Ovis aries: one gene and its partners. The protein of the gene in region 1 interacts with the protein of each later gene in a pairwise test. Links are inferred from orthologs where the notes say so. Each region holds a gene or a part of one and is shown in the gene's direction. Other genes may lie near its edges. The genes, in order: CCNDBP1, RPLP0 and SYF2.

Region 1 (6,685 bases):
ACCTCAGGTGCCTGTATATACAACTAGTATTTCGCATCTTCCTTAGATATCTCATAGGAATCTTGTATGTCTCTAACAGGACCTTTCATTTGTATCCCCAAACCTGTTTCTCCCAAGTTCTTCGCAGTTTCAATAAATTATCTAGGATGCATCTTAAGTTCTTCCCCTTCCCTCACACTTTTATCTAATTCATCAGCAAGTAGCAATGTACATGTCTTTTCTCTGTCACTGTTACCACCATTCTTACCTAATCATGTTTCTTTATTAAAAAAAATTATTTGGCTGTGTCAGGTCTTAATTGCAGCATGCAGGATCTTCGTTGCATCATGAGGGATCTTTCCTTGCAGTACTTGGGCTCTCTGGTTGTGGTGCCTGGGCTCTGGAGCACATGCACTCAGTAGTTGCAGAGCATGGGCTTAGTTGCTTCACGGCATATGGGATCTTATTTCCCCAACTGGGGATCAAACCCACATCCCCTGCATTGCATGCTGGATTCTTACAGTGAACCAGGGAAGTCCCCAATAATTATTTCTTGCCTGGGCTACTGCAGTAACCCCCTAACTGGTTTCCTGTTGTTGCTCTTGTCTCCCTAATGTCAGCTTAAAACTCTTAAAGCAGATCAGTGACATGATCTGGGTCCTGCTGACTGTCCCAAATTCTACCTACCTTATCATGTTCCAGGCTAACAGGAGAGTAACGGGAGATGGGCCCATCTCTGGGCTTTTCATTTGTTCTTCTGCCTGGAATGCTCTTCCACTGACTCATTTCTGTCCTTCAGACCTCAGAGAGCCCATCTCCCGTTGCCCTGTAACCAGTTATTTTCTTCATTGAATTTATCACCATCTGTAATTATCTTCCCCCTCCTCTTTTTTGGGGAGTGGGTTTCCTCTTTTCTGTACTAGAATGTAAGCTGTCTGAAGCATCTTTTCTGACTTGTTCATCAGTGTGTCCCTTGCCTACAGCCTTGCACAGTGCCTGTCACATAATGAGTGCTCAGTAATTATTTGGTGAATGAAAATCCATATTGTAGTTATGGTTGAATTATAAATCTTAAATCTTCTAGTTTGTATTCTAGTATTCATTATGTTACTTCAATTACAAATGCAAAGTAAAGAAGAAATATTGATATCCAAGTTCCCCCCTCACGCTACCCCCCCAAAAAAAGTACTGTATATATATGTATGTGTGTGTGTGTTTGTACATAGACATATGTATTCATTTCTACCTTAAACATTTGAGAGCTTCAACAGAAATGAAATGACACTTGCCTTTAAGATGAACAAAAGGATGCAGGCAAATAAACAACTAAGGACACAAGTGTGATTAAAGTATAAAGTATCAGTTAACCCCCAAGAGAGCAAGCAACATATTTTTAGGAGCCACCAATAATATGTTAGTGAGACCTGACCCCACCAGGGCTTAATAAGCTAATGGTTCTGTTCTGTTCTTTCCAGCTGGTGTTTTTTAACATCCCCTTGATGGGTTACCTGTGTTGGATTTTGCTGCAGCGGTGCTTTGGTCACAGCTTCAGGTCTCATCTCCATCAAGGAAAATACTTGAAAATTATACCTGTTCACCTACTTATGTTACTGCTGTACATCTGGCATATTTATTCCTGCTACTTTCTTCACGTGACATATGGCACTCTAGCTTTTTTATTCTCCCCTTTACGGACCTGGTTGACACTGGCGACACCTGTTCTCATTCGTTGTGTTTGGACAGTGAACTCTGCTAAGCTTGGAACCTTCATAGTGCAGTTAAAAAGCCATTTGAGCTCCTGAAGTCTGTATCTCCTCATCCACCTCTGTAGCCCAGGCCTCTGCCTCAGCAGCAGGTAAAAGGCCAGTATTGATGGGCAAACATCAGGGAGCTGCTGTTCCTTGGACACCTGGGAGTTGGGGGGAATTACCTACTACTGATTCTTGCAGAATGGACTGCAGAAAACTATATAATGCCGTGATTCCTCCCTTCCTCAAGAAGGTAAAGGGTTGATTTACTTTTGTGAAGAGAAAGCTTTTATCTAGGAGATCCACAGGGCAGGGGCTGGTGGATAAGGGAGTATCTGAGGCCCACTCAGTGTGTTTTTTAGATACCTCATGTAAAGTACCTAGCACAGTGTCTGGAACTTGGCAGCCTGTAAGGAGGCCACTTTAGGGACAGGGAACGTGCAAACTTGGACCTGACCCTGACTACCCTTGTTTAGTTCCTAGTCCTTTTTTCGACAGGATTATGGGCTCTCTGCTTCCTCAGTCGGGGGTGTTTTCAACTAATCAAATACCAATAAATGAATAAGAAACAACTCGGTCTGGGTCTTGCCTGTGTCGCTAGGAGCGGGAGCGAGGCGGGGCTTTTGAGAGCGGAAGGGGTGTGGCTGGGCTTCCGAGGCGGGGCAGGTTGTTGCCGGAAGCGAAACCGTGGCCTGGAAGAGGAGCTGCGACAGCGGTGCGGCTCCGGAAGCTGTTGTGGGGGCTTGGTCCGCTGGCTCCAAACGCGGTACTGGGATGGAGAGCGCAGCTGTATCTGCAGCCCCAGACCCCACCCTGGATCCGCCTCTGGAACAGCTTCGGCACCTAGCCGGGGAGCTGCGGCAGTTGCTTCCTGGAGTGCGGGGTGAGCTGACTTAGTGAGGCCGGGTGACCGCAGGGGCGGGCTTGGGTGGGAAGGAGCCAGGCCTTGGCGGCCGCGGCGCCGGGTCCGGGCAGAGGAGGTGGGTCCGGGAGGTCGTTCCGCTTACCTGTGCTCTTTCGTTTGTCGCCGTCCGGCGCACACCCCGCACCCACTAGTCGGCGAAGCCCAGGAAACCACCAAGGAGTTTGATCGGGAGGCCTTTTGGAGAAGACTCAGTGAGTGCCTCTCCTATTGGAGACTGCTGTCTCTCATCTCTTCCCTACTCCTTTCCTTCCTGCTTCCCCCCCGCCCCAGCCTCTCTGCGGGGATACTCCTTACCTATCCTTGGTATCTCCGAGGTTGAAATATAAAACACTGATTTTTGGAGGTGTTTTTGAGACGTCTCAGCGGGCATGGGTGGAGAGGGAACGCATTATCTTCAAGGTCCGTGCAGCCGTTGCAGCCTTTTCCTTTTGGCACTAACATATTGGCTCTTGCCGCCTGCTCTGTCACTCCCCCAGATGAGGCAGCTGTGACAGTGTCAAGGGAAGCCACGACTCTGACCGTAGCCTTCTCTCGACTTCCGCTGCCGTCTCCACAGGTGGGCTTCACTTTTCTAGGATTCTTGTGCTGCTCAGTATTCCTTAAGAAGCCTCTCATTTTCTTTCCACCTTTTACACTCAAATCTGGGGATTTAATTTCCTCATCTGTCGAGTAAGGTGAAGGTTCTCACTCCACAGGATTGTTCTGAAGATCAAATTGTCAAATGCAGTAGTTGTCATGGGGTAGATGGCTCTTCTAAATATTGGTTCATTCTGAGGTCCATCCTGGTTATTTCCTTTCTGGCATTTTAAAATATACTTTCTATTTGCTAAGTGTTTTCACATACATGATCCTTTTCTGACAGATGAACAGGCAGGCTCAGAGGCTCAGTTTAAGGTAGATAAGTAGTGGAGCTAGGACTTAAATTAGGTTCTATCTGATGTTTGAGCTCCACCTTTTCTATTATACTACATAATACTCTTTTGTACTGAATTATTTTTATGCTATTATATATATTATATATTATTATATTTATATATAATAATGTAGACAGTATAAGGTTCAAAAGATATCAAAGTTAAATGTGCTAAAAAGCTTATATCTCCTGTCTTTGGTTCCTTTTGTATCATTCCATATATATGCTATGCATATTCACACTTAAGTGCATATGGCTGCTGCTTTTTACACAAGTGATAATAGTTTCTGTTGAGAAATCAGCTGGTAACCTTATGGGAGTTCTCTTGTATGTTATTTGTCACTTTTCCCTTGTTGCTTTTAATATTTTATCTTTGTCTTTAATTTTTGTCAATTTGATTACCCTGTACATGCTCAGGACAGTGGTTTTTTCATTCGTAGATGAAAAATTAAAATATGGCTTTATATGAATTATATATATTTGAATCACAGTTGCTTTCTTAGGATCTCAGCACATTAATTCTGCCAAAGAATTTTTTTTTTTTTTTTGATTCCAGTCCTTACAACGTGGTATTTTTACAAAATTATATGTTTGGATGTTGAAACAATGTCACATTGGTGTAAAAGTTTCTGAGTACTCTCAATCTTTGTACCTATCCATCTCAGACTGGTGACAGATCATTTATGGACTGGCACCATCTGTAGACCACATTTTGCATAGCACTGGCTTGGAATTTAGCAGAGCAGTGAGGACAAGGAAGATAAGGGAAAGCCAGTGACTGCCTAGAAGGAAAATAGTCAGCATTGAGCATTGTAGAGTCCATGCTAATTTCCTTTAGGTATACTGAAATTCTGTTAGAGACAGAGGCAGAGAGATAGACAACTGGTTAATGGTCTAAGATAGAGCTGACAACTTTTCTGTCAAAGGCCAAATAGTAAACATTTTAGGCTTTGCAGTCCAGCTACTCCACTCTGCCTCTGTAGTGTGAATACTATTATAGACAATTTGTAAACGCATGAGTGTGGCTGTGTCCTAGAAACATTTTATTTGCAAAAACGGGCAGTGAGCCTGATTGGGCCCTTGGGCTCTAGTTTGCCAACTCCTGGTCTAAGATATGGTGAATACCTCAAAGCTGATCACAGATATCTTGGGATATAGAGTATCAGGGATGTTTTTCCTACAGTTTCTTCTTGTCTTACTGAGTTTCTGCTCAGTACTTGGTATCCAGCTAACTCCTCCCTGGTATGTGATGAGAACAGCACAGCCTGATGCATAATAGGACTTCAGAAAATGTTTGATGATGCTGTACAGATGTCTGCTCTTTTCCCCTGTAGATGGCTTGACCACATCAATCTAATCCATTTCTTTTTTTCTTTCTGAAATTGGCTTATCATCTCCTAGGAAACGCAGAGGTTCTGTGAACAAGTGCGTGCTGCCATCAAGGCAATTATTGCAGTGTACTATTTGTTTCCCAAGGATCAGGGTAAGCCACTCCATACACATAAGTGTTCAGTTTATGGGGTAGATCTTTGCTATTGTGACAGCTTATGTCCTGAGAATTTTACCTTTTCCTCAATTTGATCATGTAATGTAACTTTCTCCCATTAAGTGCAGTCAAAGGTAGTTATATAAGTGACCTCCATAAGTAAGCCTTTGTGCTAAAGTTCAGATACTGTGTTCTCATGTCCCCTGCCTTACTTGACTCTTAATATTTTTAATTCTCACTGGCTTCTCCGTCTCTAATGCATTATAATCACCACAGATACTGCTTGGTTATCAGTGCCATCCCCAGGCTTCTTCGCCTCATCACATGCTGTTTCTGAGCTCCCTTATAGGTTAAGTGGCCTCCAGCTCTGCCTGCATCTTCGTGTCTTGATTATTATCAGGTTACAATTAGAAATGAATACATGTCTCATGGATCTTCAGGGTTACTCATGTGGTTTAAACTTGAAGTGTTTTATCCACAAATGCCAGGAAATCACTGTTTTTAAAAATGTGTATTATTTTATTTATGTGGCTGTGCCAGGTCTTGGTTGCGGCAGGCGTGCTCTTCAGTCCTTGTTATGGCATGTAGGGTCTTTAGTTGCAGCATGTGAACTCTGAGTTGTGGCATGTAGGATCTAGTTCCCTGACCAGAGATTGAACCCTGGCCCCTGCATTGGCAGCGTAGAGTCTTAGCCACTGGACCACCAGGAAAGTCCCAAGAAACTACTTTTTAATGAATGAATATATGCTGTCATGGAACAGTTTTGTTTCAGATCTCTTTTGGAAAATACCACTAAGGAATGGTGGGAGGAGCAAGCAAATGACATGGGGATATACATAAGACCTGGGTTCTGTGTTGGCACTCTGGTTAAAGCATGTGGGTGCACATTACCTCAAATTCTGTAGGGCTTAGATTCTCAGGAAGACTTTCCAGACTTCTGGAAAGACAGACAGGCTGCTTAATTAGTCTTTGGGTCTGGCTATAGGCATCACCCTGCGAAAGCTGGTGCGGAGCGCCACTCTGGACATCGTGGATGACATGGCTCAGCTTGTGGAAGCACTTTACATCAATCCAGCTCAGAGGTAGTGATGCCACAGCTGGAGTTATTGGGTAATGGGGTTCTTTGTTTCTGGGAGGCGGGGGAAAGTCATTTTAACAGCAAAGTTACTGATAACTGAGATTAATGACCAGCAGGAAGGACCTTTGTAGGAAACAGGAACCCAGGTTATTGATACATCCTTATTGATTCGTTTCAGCAACCCTGAGAACCTGATTCCCTACAACAGTGTCTGGGATGCTTGCCAACATATACCTCAGATCCCAAAAGGTGAGTGAGAATAGAAAGTAGACATTGACTCTGCTGGCCAAAGCTGACAGACCTCACGTCCAGCTGCCAGTTTTGTAGTAGTATGTATTTTTACTTACGTAAAGAACTTAGTGAAATAGGTCTAGTTTATCACCAACATGAAAAGACAGGTATTAATTATTTTTGCCAGTCTTTTTAGTTCACGTAACTTCTAAATTCAAACACCCTCTGGCTGTGGCTCTGTCTGTTGTTGAACAGATGTGGTTTTCTCTTCCGGTCCTGCCCCAGGGGCAGTATTTTGGAGACACTGAAGCAGTTATGGGGTAGA
Region 2 (6,685 bases), on another chromosome or scaffold:
AGTCCCTTGGACTGCAAGGAGATCCAACCTGTCCATCCTAAAGGAAATCAGTCCTGAATATTCATTGGAAGGATTGATGCTGAAGCTGAAACTCCAATACTTTGGCCACCTGATGCAAAGAACTGACTCATTTGAAAAGACCCTGATGCTGGGAAAGATTGAGGGCAGGAGGAGAAGGGGACGACAGAGGATGAGATGGTTGGATGGCATCATCGACGCAATGGACATGAGTTTGAGTAAACTCTGGGAGTTGGTGATGGACAGGGAGGCCTGGCGTGCTGCAGTCCATGGGGTCGCAGAGAGTCGGACACGACTGAGCGACTGAACTGCACTGACTTAATAGTCGATGATGGGTCTCGACTGCCCCCTGGTGGTCATATCTGTATTTGCATGCATGCTTCCTCGGCGTTGTCAGAGCCGTAACTCCAGTCCTGGGCCTTTGCGAGCTTCCGGGACAGTTTTGCAGCTTTGCAGTCTCCCTGTTGTTTGGAATGGTTCTCCAAAAGCCGCATGTCGATTTCAAGTCTGAACCCTGACCATTCCGTATTGAGCTCAGAAGTGAAAATTACCTTCAACCCTCACCCAAAAATCATATTTCCAGCTCATGTTGGGCTTACGTGAATGAACAGGTCCACTTCATTGTAACTGGCTCACTCAACTGTACTTTATGTTTTCCCATGTCAATAAATAGAGATGGGCATTTTTTAATGCCTTCACGGTATTCCATTATATTGATGTACTACAGTTAGAGACAATATCATCAGAGGCAGGATGTCCTTGCGGAGTTGATATGTCAGTATGTACATCCTTGCAAAAGTGCATTTGAAGGAAGACAGCCTTAGGGTTTGGAAGGGACTGTATAGCATAGTGAGACTCATGGGCTTTGAACTTGCTTTTAGGTTTTGGTTCTGAAGCCATCACTTACTAGCTGAGGTACTTGGGTGAATTACTTAACCTCTGCGAATTTTCTTACCAGTAAAATGGTACTAATACTGTATCTCCTTGGGGGTTTGTTGCACAGATGAACAGCAGTAATGTGCATAAAGTACTTAGTACAATGCTGAGCATGCAGTAATACCCTGTCACTAAAAAGAGATCTTAGCAGTAATGGACTCCAGCAGTTGTCTATACAGGCTCATCATCAGGAGGCTTGAAAACAAAATACCAGGGTTTCTAACTTGGTCAAGTTAAAAGGATGGAGTTGGGGAGAACCACCCTCCCCTTCCCACCCTAGGCTCTAAGCTTATTCATTAAAAACATATTTAATGATATAGCACAATTGTTCAAATAAATGTTGAATGAAAGTGTAATAAAATATGTTGACATTAAGTGATTTCCTCCTACATTCCAGGGACTGTGTTAACACATAACTCACGTAATCCTCATGGGGTGTGAATACTACTATCCTCATTTTACAGACAGGAAAAGAGAGGGTCAGCAAGGTGAAATCACTTCCTAAGATGACCAACCTAGCAAGTGACAGAATAAGGATATGAATTCAGGTTATCTGACTGCAAACTCTACATCCATTCATTCAACAAATGTTTATTATATGCCCATAGGTGCCAGGCTCACGGCAGAGAGAGAGACAAATTATTTTAGTGATTTAGTGTGTTACTAGGTGGAAGTGCTACCAAAAAGTTAAACCGGAGGAAGAGGGAAGTTGGAGTGGTTTTGGGGGTAATCTTGAATAGGGCGATGGGGGTAGGCCTCCAGCAGGTGATCATTGAGCCAAGACGCAACGGAGGTGTGGATATGGGCAGGAAGCCTTCTAGGAAGAGGGAATAGACAGTGCATGAGCCCTGAAATGGGAGCGTCACCCAGCTGGGAGGAAATGAGTCAGTAGGCAAATCGGAGATGAGATGATGGGGTGGAGGTGGGGACCAGATCATGTAGAGCCTTGTAGGTAGCCTCATTTACGTTTTAGGTTTTTTTCTGGGAGGGAAATGGGGAGACTCGAAAGTATTGCGAGCAGATGAGGAAGTGATCCGACTTAGGTTTAAAGGATCCCTTTGTTTCGATAGGGGGAAGAACAAACTGTAGAGGAGACGAGAGACCATCCTGTTTCTAAAGCATGAGAGTTCTTTCTCAACGTCATACTCTGTAGTTGCGACTTGGCCTGGTGACCAAAGGAAACGTGAACTCAGCTTGCAAACACTAACTCTACCTGGCGGCGCCTCCCACCCGGCAGAGGGCAGCAGCTCTGAGAAAGCGCCTCCAGCACCCAGCAGTGTCCTCCTTAACGACCTCGTTTAAAAGCAGCTTCCTGTTGGTTGGAGTGGCAGGGATGCTACCCAATGGCTGCCTGCATCTATCCGATTTCTTCAGAATGGCGTTGGCACCAGCCAATAGGCGGGGGGCTCTGCCTGTGGCTTCTGATTGGCTGCTTCGCTCATCTATAAAAGATGCCCGCCGGCGCGCGGCCCTCCTCTCGCCAGGCGTCCTCGTGTGAGGTTCGTCCGTCTCGCTGCGTTCGCACCGGCAACTGTGGCGGGAAGAATGGGGGTCTTTGGGGGTTCTTTTGGAGGCTCTTGGGGACCGCGGGGTCCGGCCTCTTTGGTTTGGGGGTGCGGCGGCGGCCGCCGCGACAGGTGCAGCCCTGGCTCGGGGCGGCGGGCGCCCGCGCGTGGCCTACTCCGCGTGTACCTTGGGCTTGGAGCCCGCCGTGCTGTGGGGACGCGTGTCGGGGTGGCTTGAGCTCCTTTTCTCTCCTCAGTGACATCGTCTTTAAACCCTGCGTGGCAATCCCTGACGCACCGCCGTGATGCCCAGGGAAGACAGGGCGACCTGGAAGTCCAACTACTTCCTTAAGATCATCGTAAGTTTGGGGCAGGCCCCGCCGCCCACCGTGCTGCCCGGGCCCGGGCACTGGTGGGGACGGTCAGCTGCCGTGTGCTGAGCGCCTGCTTGCTAGCTGCTATATTAGGTCATTTTAGGCACATTTCATTTAATTTTTACAATTTCCCGAGATCCATGCCCTTCCCCCTCCCAGTGTTGCAGATGAACAGACTCAGGCAGGTGAAGTGGCTCTTAAGGTAAAGAACATTCAAGCCCAAGTCTGTCTAGGTTCAAGTAGCACTCGTTCTAATTTTCTTGTCCTGTCTGCATCTTTGAGAAAGTCTGAGGCTATGAGTGACTCATTATAATGGGGCAAGTTGTTGCCTATTTAGAGCCTGTCAGTCAAGAAACTATGTGAGTTCTTTAATTTAGATGGCCTTGAGTTGGGTCTTGCCTGGCCAGAAATGCTAATCACGCTGCTCTTCAAGCCTTAGGATGCGTTGTGGAGTTTAGTTTTTTGCGTTCTTCCTCATTTATCATGCAGGTTTTCAGTTTAACAGAAAACTTTGTAAAATGATTATATACACACAACCTAGGTCCTACAAGTTACTATTTTGACATACTTCCTTTATGTTATATTTTGATTGCTGTAAATCTGACTTTACCTGGACCAGTATTTTTTTTTTTTTTGGTTAAGGCAGTCATTTAGCGAATCAAACATGCCTCGTAATTGGGGAAAGAGCAAAAGTTATAATTACAAGTATTTGTTTAATTTACTGTAGAAACAGTTACTGTTTATACTCAACACGCAAATCTTTGACAAAACTGGTGTTAACTCAGGTGGCCTATAGGAGGAGGCACTGTCCCAATCTCTGTCATTTCAAAAGCTTAGAGGAAAGGGAGTGAGATGGAAGCTGGTGATTGCGGGATTTGGTTTCTCTTAACCGTTTCCCTCTTTCCTCCTGTGAAACACGGCTTGTTTTCGGCTTGTTTCTGTAGCAACTTCTGGATGATTATCCAAAATGCTTCATTGTGGGAGCAGACAATGTGGGCTCCAAGCAGATGCAGCAGATCCGCATGTCGCTGCGCGGGAAGGCTGTGGTGCTGATGGGCAAGAACACGATGATGCGCAAGGCCATCCGAGGGCATCTGGAAAACAACCCGGCTCTGGAGAAGTTGGTGTCTTTATCCTCCCTTCTCAGTGCCCTCCTCCCTCTTCCTGGAGAGGAACGGAGCTACAAAGTGACCTTCTCCTGTAAACTTCTCTTTGCAGACTGTTGCCTCACATCCGGGGAAATGTGGGCTTCGTGTTCACCAAGGAGGACCTCACTGAGATCAGGGACATGCTGCTGGCCAATAAGGTAAGGGAGAATCAGGTTGACTGGAGAGACCTTATCATTAGTTTGGTTCCTAAAAAGCAATAAAACTGACCGATCTCAGGTTGTGTCTGGAGAGAAGACATCTCACTGTTCACTTTTTTCCCACATTTGCTCAGGTGCCGGCTGCCGCCCGTGCTGGTGCCATAGCGCCGTGCGAAGTCACTGTGCCAGCCCAGAACACTGGTCTGGGGCCCGAGAAGACATCCTTCTTCCAGGCTTTAGGCATCACCACTAAGATCTCCAGGGGCACAATTGAAATCCTGGTGAGTGGACCTGGCTTGCCAGTACTAGCTGCGCCAGCGGTGGGGGCTCGGTGGCCTCGGACCTGCCGGACGTCCAGGGGTTAACTGCCAACTTCCTTGCTCTTCAGAGCGATGTGCAGCTGATTAAGACCGGAGACAAGGTGGGCGCCAGCGAAGCCACGCTGCTGAACATGCTGAACATCTCCCCCTTCTCCTTCGGGCTGGTCATCCAGCAGGTGTTTGACAATGGCAGCATCTACAACCCCGAAGTGCTTGACATCACAGAGGAAACTCTGCATTCCCGCTTCCTGGAGGTACCCGAGGGCCCATTCCAGGCCCTTCCTTTCTCATTAGTAGTTGAGAGCGCATCTGGCTTCAGCTGCATCTTGGCAATGCAGCTGACTAGCAGGTTAATAACCAGGAATAGTTGTTCAGTCTGTATCTCAGTTTCCTCATCCTTAGAACAGCAATGACAATTTAGGATTGTTGAAGGAGCTAATGAATTAATGAGTGTAAGGCCTTGAAACAGTGCTGGGTACACAGTAAGGGCTGTCATTTTAGGACCTGCAAAAAGATGTGAGATTTTGAGTGTCAGTGAGTCAAAAGAGGGATAACGAAAATGAGGTAATTAATACACAAGTGTTGCCAAGTACCCTACTATCTTGGGAGAATGGACTCTCAGTCCATCCTTCATCTTGTTTAGTTTTTGCCACTAATACCTCCCCTTAACAAAGTGATGCGATATATAATTCTTGTTTTTTTGACAGATAGACAATTGTAATTACATATACTCTTAACTCTGGTTACTTTTGGAAATCTCCGTAGTGGATGAAATTCACACCTGGAACTGACGTTTTTCTCAGAATGCCATGAGTATATGATTTTACAAAACGGTGGCTTTTGAAGTAAATACCATCGTTATGGTATAGGGAACACCCTTGTGGAGAATAAGGGCAAAAAGCATTTGTAAATTAAACTGGGTCTGAATTTCACTGCCAGAAGCATCTGGTGTGAGGTGAAGCGTCCTGTGTGAGACTGAGGTACTGAGCAAATCGCATGTGCTGTTGAGCTCCGCTTCACTGTCTTTTAAGACACCACACCTGAGACCTAAAGGAATGTCACGCCTGAGACTGAAAGGACTGTTTCCTCCCTTCCACAGGGTGTCCGCAATGTTGCCAGTGTGTGCCTGCAGATTGGTTACCCGACTGTTGCATCTGTACCCCATTCTATCATCAATGGGTACAAGCGTGTCCTGGCTTTGTCTGTGGAGACTGATTACACCTTCCCACTTGCTGAAAAGGTACAAAGAACCCACTAGGATACCAAAATCCATGAGTGCTCAAGTCTGTCATAAAATGGTGTTAGTTAGGTTATATCATTTCTAGGTTACTTAGGATACCTAATCTAGTTTGAATGTTACGTAAATGGTTATAAATACGATGTAACTTGAGTGTAAATAATTGCTACAATATAGCAAATTCAAGTTTTGCATTTTGGACATTCCCCCCCCACCCTTTTTTTTGAGTTTTGATCCACAGTTGGTTCGGTCTTTTAAGTGTGAAACCTTTGGCTACAGAGCGCCAATTGTCTACTTGAAGTTGGGAGGCAGAGGAGATGTGTTCTCGATTTTAGAAATTATATGAGATTTAAAGCAGGGATAGTTTAATGGGTAAGAGCCGGGCCTGAGCTCACCAGGCTTATACCCAAGCTGTCCTGCCTGGTTACTTCAGAGGAAGGCTTCACTGACAAGGAAGTGGGCCCTTGAATCCGGAGCTCTGCGGAGGCCAAAGGGCTGTGGGTAGTAGGGGTGCTAAGATGACCCTTTGACTGTGAACTTTGCCCTTGCTCTAGGTCAAGGCCTTCTTGGCTGATCCATCTGCGTTTGTGGCTGCTGCCCCCGTGGCTGCTGCCCCCGCTGCTGCCCCCGCTGCCACCACCGCAGCCCCAGCCAAGGTCGAAGCAAAGGAGGAGTCGGAGGAGTCGGACGAGGATATGGGATTTGGTCTCTTTGACTAATCCCCAAAGAGCAGCCAACCGGGCCAGCATTATTTGTGAAATGAGAAAATAAAGGCTTACTTCTCTTACAAGTCTCTGAGCTTCTCATTTTGTGCGTTTGAAGGTTATATAGTGCTGTATGCTAGAAACCAAAGGCATGGTCAAATCAGCTTGATTTGAAATTGACATTTGGGTGTTCTCTTTGAAAGTGACACATTGCTCTCCTAGCATCCTATACTTTGTCTCTACCCAGTGTTAACTGTATGTTTGTTAAACTGAAATTTGTCTCCA
Region 3 (5,882 bases), on another chromosome or scaffold:
GAAGAAGATAAAAGACTTAAGTTACCTGCGAATTGGGAAGCCAAAAAAGCTCGTTTGGAATGGGAACTACAGGAAGAAGAAAAGAAAAAGGTTAGGAACTGCTCTGCTGTCTTCATAAGTGGTCTGTTCTGTTGTATTGAGATAGTAAAAAAAAGCTCTTTATCAGCTGCAACACTTTGGGCAAATAATTTAATCTCCCTGTGATTGTGTTTTCTCATCTGTAAAATGAGATCTGTAATAATTACTTGAGTTAATTATGAATTAAATGAGTCAGTGCGTTTGGAACATTTAACAGAGGGTCTGACACTGGATAAATGTTGAGTATTATTTTTTAGATTGATGTACTCACTTCTTATTATACAACAGCAGATAACCAAATTTCTCCTTCACATAGTAATGGTTATTTTAAATGTATTGCTTTATATTCACTTAAAATAGTTCAAATAATTGCTTGTATCATAAGGGCAAGCATTAGCTTTTTTCTGCTTCATTTTAGGAATGTGCAGCGAGAGGGGAAGACTATGAGAAAGTGAAGTTGCTAGAAATCAGTGCAGAAGATGCAGAAAGATGGGAGAGAAAAAAGAGGAGGAAAAACCCCGACCTGGGATTTTCAGGTAAGACTGAACTTTATTGAATAGGCCTCTGAGATAAGCATGCCTTCAGTGTTCCTGGTTTTAAGAAAGAATATGCCCCTTCGTGGAATATTCTGTAATACTTATACTCCTAAGAAAAATACAAAATATCATATATGGCAAAAGTGAAAAAGGCTCTACTTGAATCAGCTGGGTTCCTTTATTCAGTGCTAAAATTAAAGCCTGTTTGGTCCGGATCTTCAGGATACAGGCTATGCTAATAATTTTGATTCTTCTCTGAATAGTAATGATCAAATAAAGTAATATATCATTTCCAATTTTCATTTTATTTTTAGATTATGCTGCTGCCCAGCTTCGCCAGTATCATCGGCTGACCAAACAGATCAAACCAGACATGGAAACATATGAGAGACTGAGAGAAAAGCAGTAAGTTGACAGGATTAATGCAAGTCCTGTTTTCATCCTGAAGTGATACTGATGTATTAAAACTCATGTGTACACATAAACATATATACATAAACACACACTGTAGTGCTTAGCTATGGATTATCAGTAGCTGGGGGTTTTTTGTTGTTGCTGTGTTTTGGCTGTGCGGGGTCTTTGTTGTGTGTGGGCTTTCTCTGGCTACAGCAAGTGGGAGCTCCTCTCCACTGAAGCTCCTTTGCATTGCAGTGTGTGGGCTTCTCACTGTGGTGGCTTCCCTTGTGGATCACGGGCTCTAGGCGCACAGGCTTCATTAGCTGCAATACTCAGGCTTAGTAGTTGCAGCACATGGGCCCTAGAGCATCTGCGCTTCAGTAGTTACGGGGCACGGGGTTAGTTGCTCCGTGGCATGTGGACTCTCCCTGGACCAGGGATCACACCTGTGTCCCCTGTTTTGGCAGGTAGATTTTTAACCGCTGGAACACCAGAGAAATGCTCAACAACTGTATAAGGATAGTTTCAGGTCTTGATGCTGTTTACTTACTGCTCGTCCACAGCAGTTAAGCTGACCACATGATTATCTTTCTAGCTGGGCATTCTGCAGCTGGGTGTTGAGAGATCATCGTAGTTACTCATATTTTGGGACATAGAATGCTTTAGTGCCAGGATAGGTGAACTGCTGTAAAGGACCAGAGAGTGAATATTTTAGGCTTATAGGCTATCTGGGCTCTGTCACAACTACTCCACTCTGCCCTTGTGATGTTAAAGCACCCATAGAGTAGGCATTGGAGAAGGAAATGGCAGCCCTCTCCAGTGTTCTTGCCTGGAGAATCCCAGGGATGGCGGAGCCTGGTGGCTACCGTCTATGGGGTCGCACAGAGTTGGACACGACTGAAGCGACTTAGCAGCAGCAGCAGAGTAGTCATAGATAGATGGGTGGGCTGTGTCCCAGTAAAACTATTTCTATAAACAAGAGGCTGTAATTTGCTGGGCTGCTATAGTGGAAAGAGAACCTGAGGCTGGAAGCAAGTCTTTAACCTCTGACCCTTGGCTCTTTCGTCTGTAGAATGAAGGTGTTGAACTAGGTGATTTCTTAACTTTCATCCTTTACAATTCTGTATTCTCTTTTCTCTTGTTTTTTAAAAAAAGAAGAGCTAGGATCCCACAGTAAAGACATTTATGTATTTTATCTCTCTTCATGAATGGTAGTTTCGTTTGAAAATATGGAGCACTTGCAGTGTTACTCCAAGTCCATGTTGCTGTCTTTTCAGTGGAGAAGAGTTTTTCCCAACGTCCAACAGTCTTCTTCATGGGACACATGTGCCTTCCACAGAGGAAATTGACAGGATGGTCCTAGACCTCGAAAAACAGTGAGTACACCATACAGCAGCCATTTCATTAAATGTTGCGTGACAGAATGGACATAACGTGCCTAGAATGAATTAAGATAGATGTTCTACTCGCTCACTTCTGACCTTGCATCTCTAGTGGTTTTGGGGACAGAGAGCAAGTATGAATTGAATCCATTTGCTTTGGAATGAAGATGTAAAATATTGATGGCATTGAGTTATTATAATTGAAAATTAGAAATAAAATTATTCTCTTTAAAGCACTTATTCTTACTTCTACTTTAACAACCATGGCACTCTTTGATTTAAAGAAGTATAAGTGTTCTAGTAAACTTACCTAAGTATATTTGTGCTTCCTAATACTGATAGGGTCGTTCTTCCTGATATTGATCAGGCAGAGCGAAATGAATTTAGTTTATAGGAGCTCATACACTTCAGTATTAAGATTAGTGTCTAGTATATACTGTATACTCTGTTCATATTAGCTGTGGCTATTAATATAATAATTATATTTATTATAATTAATATAATTACTGTTGTAGTCATTTCCTTTACTTCATGTATCCGGTTCCTGGCAGTGTATCATTGTTCTTTTAGAAGCATTCTGAAGATTTGTTTGTATTTACTGAATTTCATGGTTCATACCCAGGGATATGCTGTTAATTGGCAGTTTCAACTTCATCTTGATGAAAACTGGGCTCCCCCCACCCCAAAGTGTGCTAGTTTAAGTGTACTGATTTTTTTTTTTGACATGTTTTATTAATACTAAAAAGGAAAGCAGTTTTGAAATTTTTCTTCTTCTCCCAGAATTGAAAAACGAGACAAATATAGCCGGAGACGCCCTTATAATGATGATGCAGATATTGACTACATTAATGAAAGGAATGCTAAATTCAACAAGAAGGCAGAAAGATTCTATGGGAAATATACAGCTGAAATTAAGCAGAATTTGGAGAGAGGAACAGCCGTCTAATCCCATCAGGAACTGTTTGGAAGCTTGAGAATAGAGTGAAAATTTCTGCTAGCAAATTGAAGTTCTCTTCAGAGTTGTACTGTAAACTAGAACGCTGTTTGTGCCCTCCCACCCAGCATTTAAAAATAAATGTTTTTTCTTAAATGTATACTTCATATATATTTCCACATTTTTTGTGCTTGGATATAAGATATATTTCTTGTAATGTACTTGTTTTGTAAAAATCGACTTTGTATAAATTCTGTTATTTTTCTATGTATTTTAAATGTGTATGACTTGAATCTTTGAAGCATTTTGGGTTTAAGGAATGCTGGTAGCGTATGTAAATGCAGTCCTTGTTACTTTGAGTATTTCAGTGAATTTGATAAAATCTAGAACTGGACTCGGGAACCATGTGGGGTTGTGGACTCCATAGCTAAGGATGGTGATGAGATGACAGTGGCTACTGGAGGGCAGGAGCAGGCTGTCTCCATAGAGGGCTGCTTAGGACCAAGTTCAGGAAGTAGAATTGTCCTCCCGTAAACAGTGAGCAGGTGTAGTTCCCTTTTGAAAAGGCGCTATCCTGTGGAAGAGAATCTCTACCAAGCACTGTATCGTTTAAAACAGGTATATGGGGACTTCCCTGGTGGTCCAGTGGTTGAGAGTCCACCTTCCTGGGTTTAATCCCTTCTTGGGGAACTAAGATCCCACATTCTCAATTGCTTCAGTCATGTCCGACTCAGACCCTATGGACTGTAGCCTGCGAGTCTCCTATGTCCATGGGATTTTCCAGGTGAAAACACTGGAATGGGTTGCCATTTCCTTTTCCAAGATCTACATGCCATGGGGCAGCTAAGCCCATGCCCTGCAGCTCGAGAGACCCACACGCCTCAGCAAAGACTCAGCACAGCCAATAAATAAAATGAATATTTGTATTTATACATTTATATTTACGCAAATATACACACACGTGCTTCCATTGCAAACATGGTCAAAATAATCCAATGAGTCCTATAATCAGTGCCTGTCTTTAATAATTATCAACTTATGCCAATATTTGTTTCATCTTCATTTCTATCCACTTTCTATAGCTCATGTTATTTTGAAGCAAATACTAAATGTATAATTTTATCTATAAATATTTCACTATGTATCTGAAAGATAAGACTACAATGCTATTATCACAATAATAGTCCTATTTTAATAAAACTAAAGAGTGAAAAGATTGGTATAATTTTTTCAATGTGTTGATAAAAATGCTAAGTATCTAATTAGGACATTCCAAATTAAAAACCTGAAACTCAAGAAAATTTCACAAAAACTTCAGCTTTAGTATTTATAATTAATAACCACTGATGATTATTCCCTTTTAAAATTTATGTAGTACTTTCCATGTCTGCTCTTATTTTATCTTCTAGCATTTAATCTACGTGCAGTTAGGTCTGACCACAGCTTGGATGCTACCTCTGAAAATAAATATATCTTAATAAGTACGTTTTTTATTGAAGTATAGTTGACATAATGTTTCAGATGCAGAGCAAGATGATTGAGTTTTACACATTTTTTTGAAATTATTTTCCAGTATAGGTTATTCAATTCAGTTGCTCAGTTGTGTCTGACTTTGCAACCCCATGAATTGCAGCATGCCAGGCCTCCCTATCACCAACTCCCGGAATTCCCTCAGACTCATGTCCATCGAGTCCGTGATGCCATCCAGCCATCTCATCCTCTTTTGCCTGCTTCTCCTGCCGCCAATCCCTCTCAGCATCAGAGCCTTTTCCAGTGAGTGAACTCTTCACATGAGGTGGCCAAAGGACTGGAGTTTCAGCACCAGCATCATTCCTTCCAAAGAACACCCAGGACTGATCTTTAGAATGGACTGGTTGGATCTCCTTGCAGTCCAAGGGACTCTCAAGTCTTCTCCAACACCACAGTTCAAAAGCATCAATTCTTCGGCTCACAGCTTTCTTCACAGTCCAACTTTCACATCCGTGCATGACCACTGGAAAAATTTTGGATTTTTGAGCCCCCCAAAATAAGTCTGACACTGTTTCTACTATTTCCCCATCTATTTCCCATGAAGTCATGGGACCAGATGCCATGATCTTAGCTTTCTGAATGTTGAGTTTTAAGCCAGCTTTTTCACTCTTCTCTTTCACTTTCATCAAGAGGCTTTTTAGTTCCTCTTCACTTTCTGCCGTAAGGGTGGTGTCATCTGCATATCTGAGGTTATTGATATTTCTTCTGGCAATCTTGATTCCAGCTTGTGCTTCTTCCAGTCCAGCGTTTCTCATGATGTACTCTGCATATAAGTTAAATAAGCAGGGTGACAATATACAGCCTTGACGTACTCCTTTTCCTATTTGGAACCAGTCTGTTGTTCCCTGTCCAGTTCTAATTGTTGCTTTCTGACCTGCATATAGGTTTCTCAAGAGGCAGGTCAGGTGGTTTGGTATTCCTATCTCTTTCAGAATTTTCACAGTGTATTGTGATCCACACAGTCAAAGGCTTTGGCATAGTCAATGAAGCAGAAATAGATGTTTTTCTGGAACTCTCTTGCTTTTC

What was found.
Region 2: the proteins of CCNDBP1 (region 1) and RPLP0 interact in binary tests that used the Homo sapiens proteins (3 or more experiments, as listed by UniProt). The link is inferred for Ovis aries from reciprocal best matches to the Homo sapiens genes CCNDBP1 and RPLP0.
Region 3: the proteins of CCNDBP1 (region 1) and SYF2 interact in binary tests that used the Homo sapiens proteins (3 or more experiments, as listed by UniProt). The link is inferred for Ovis aries from reciprocal best matches to the Homo sapiens genes CCNDBP1 and SYF2.

The regions. Positions count from the first base shown.
Region 1 is NC_056060.1:36,638,071-36,644,755, forward strand, and holds the start of CCNDBP1 (cyclin-D1-binding protein 1), read left to right. Parts: upstream 1-2,452; 5' UTR 2,453-2,501; coding exon 2,502-2,610; intron 2,611-2,783; coding exon 2,784-2,843; intron 2,844-3,128; coding exon 3,129-3,208; intron 3,209-4,966; coding exon 4,967-5,048; intron 5,049-6,036; coding exon 6,037-6,133; intron 6,134-6,307; coding exon 6,308-6,378; intron 6,379-6,685. Other genes in the region: TMEM62 (transmembrane protein 62), read left to right, coding at 1,455-1,781. UniProt on the Homo sapiens protein: May negatively regulate cell cycle progression. May act at least in part via inhibition of the cyclin-D1/CDK4 complex, thereby preventing phosphorylation of RB1 and blocking E2F-dependent transcription.
Region 2 is NC_056070.1:62,695,769-62,702,453, reverse strand, and holds RPLP0 (large ribosomal subunit protein uL10), read left to right. Parts: upstream 1-2,427; 5' UTR 2,428-2,453; intron 2,454-2,716; 5' UTR 2,717-2,764; coding exon 2,765-2,818; intron 2,819-3,777; coding exon 3,778-3,953; intron 3,954-4,051; coding exon 4,052-4,139; intron 4,140-4,273; coding exon 4,274-4,420; intron 4,421-4,527; coding exon 4,528-4,713; intron 4,714-5,558; coding exon 5,559-5,699; intron 5,700-6,250; coding exon 6,251-6,415; 3' UTR 6,416-6,486; downstream 6,487-6,685.
Region 3 is NC_056055.1:241,468,874-241,474,755, forward strand, and holds the end of SYF2 (pre-mRNA-splicing factor SYF2), read left to right. Parts: coding exon 1-90; intron 91-496; coding exon 497-614; intron 615-928; coding exon 929-1,019; intron 1,020-2,287; coding exon 2,288-2,386; intron 2,387-3,172; coding exon 3,173-3,338; 3' UTR 3,339-3,486; downstream 3,487-5,882. UniProt on the Homo sapiens protein: Involved in pre-mRNA splicing as component of the spliceosome.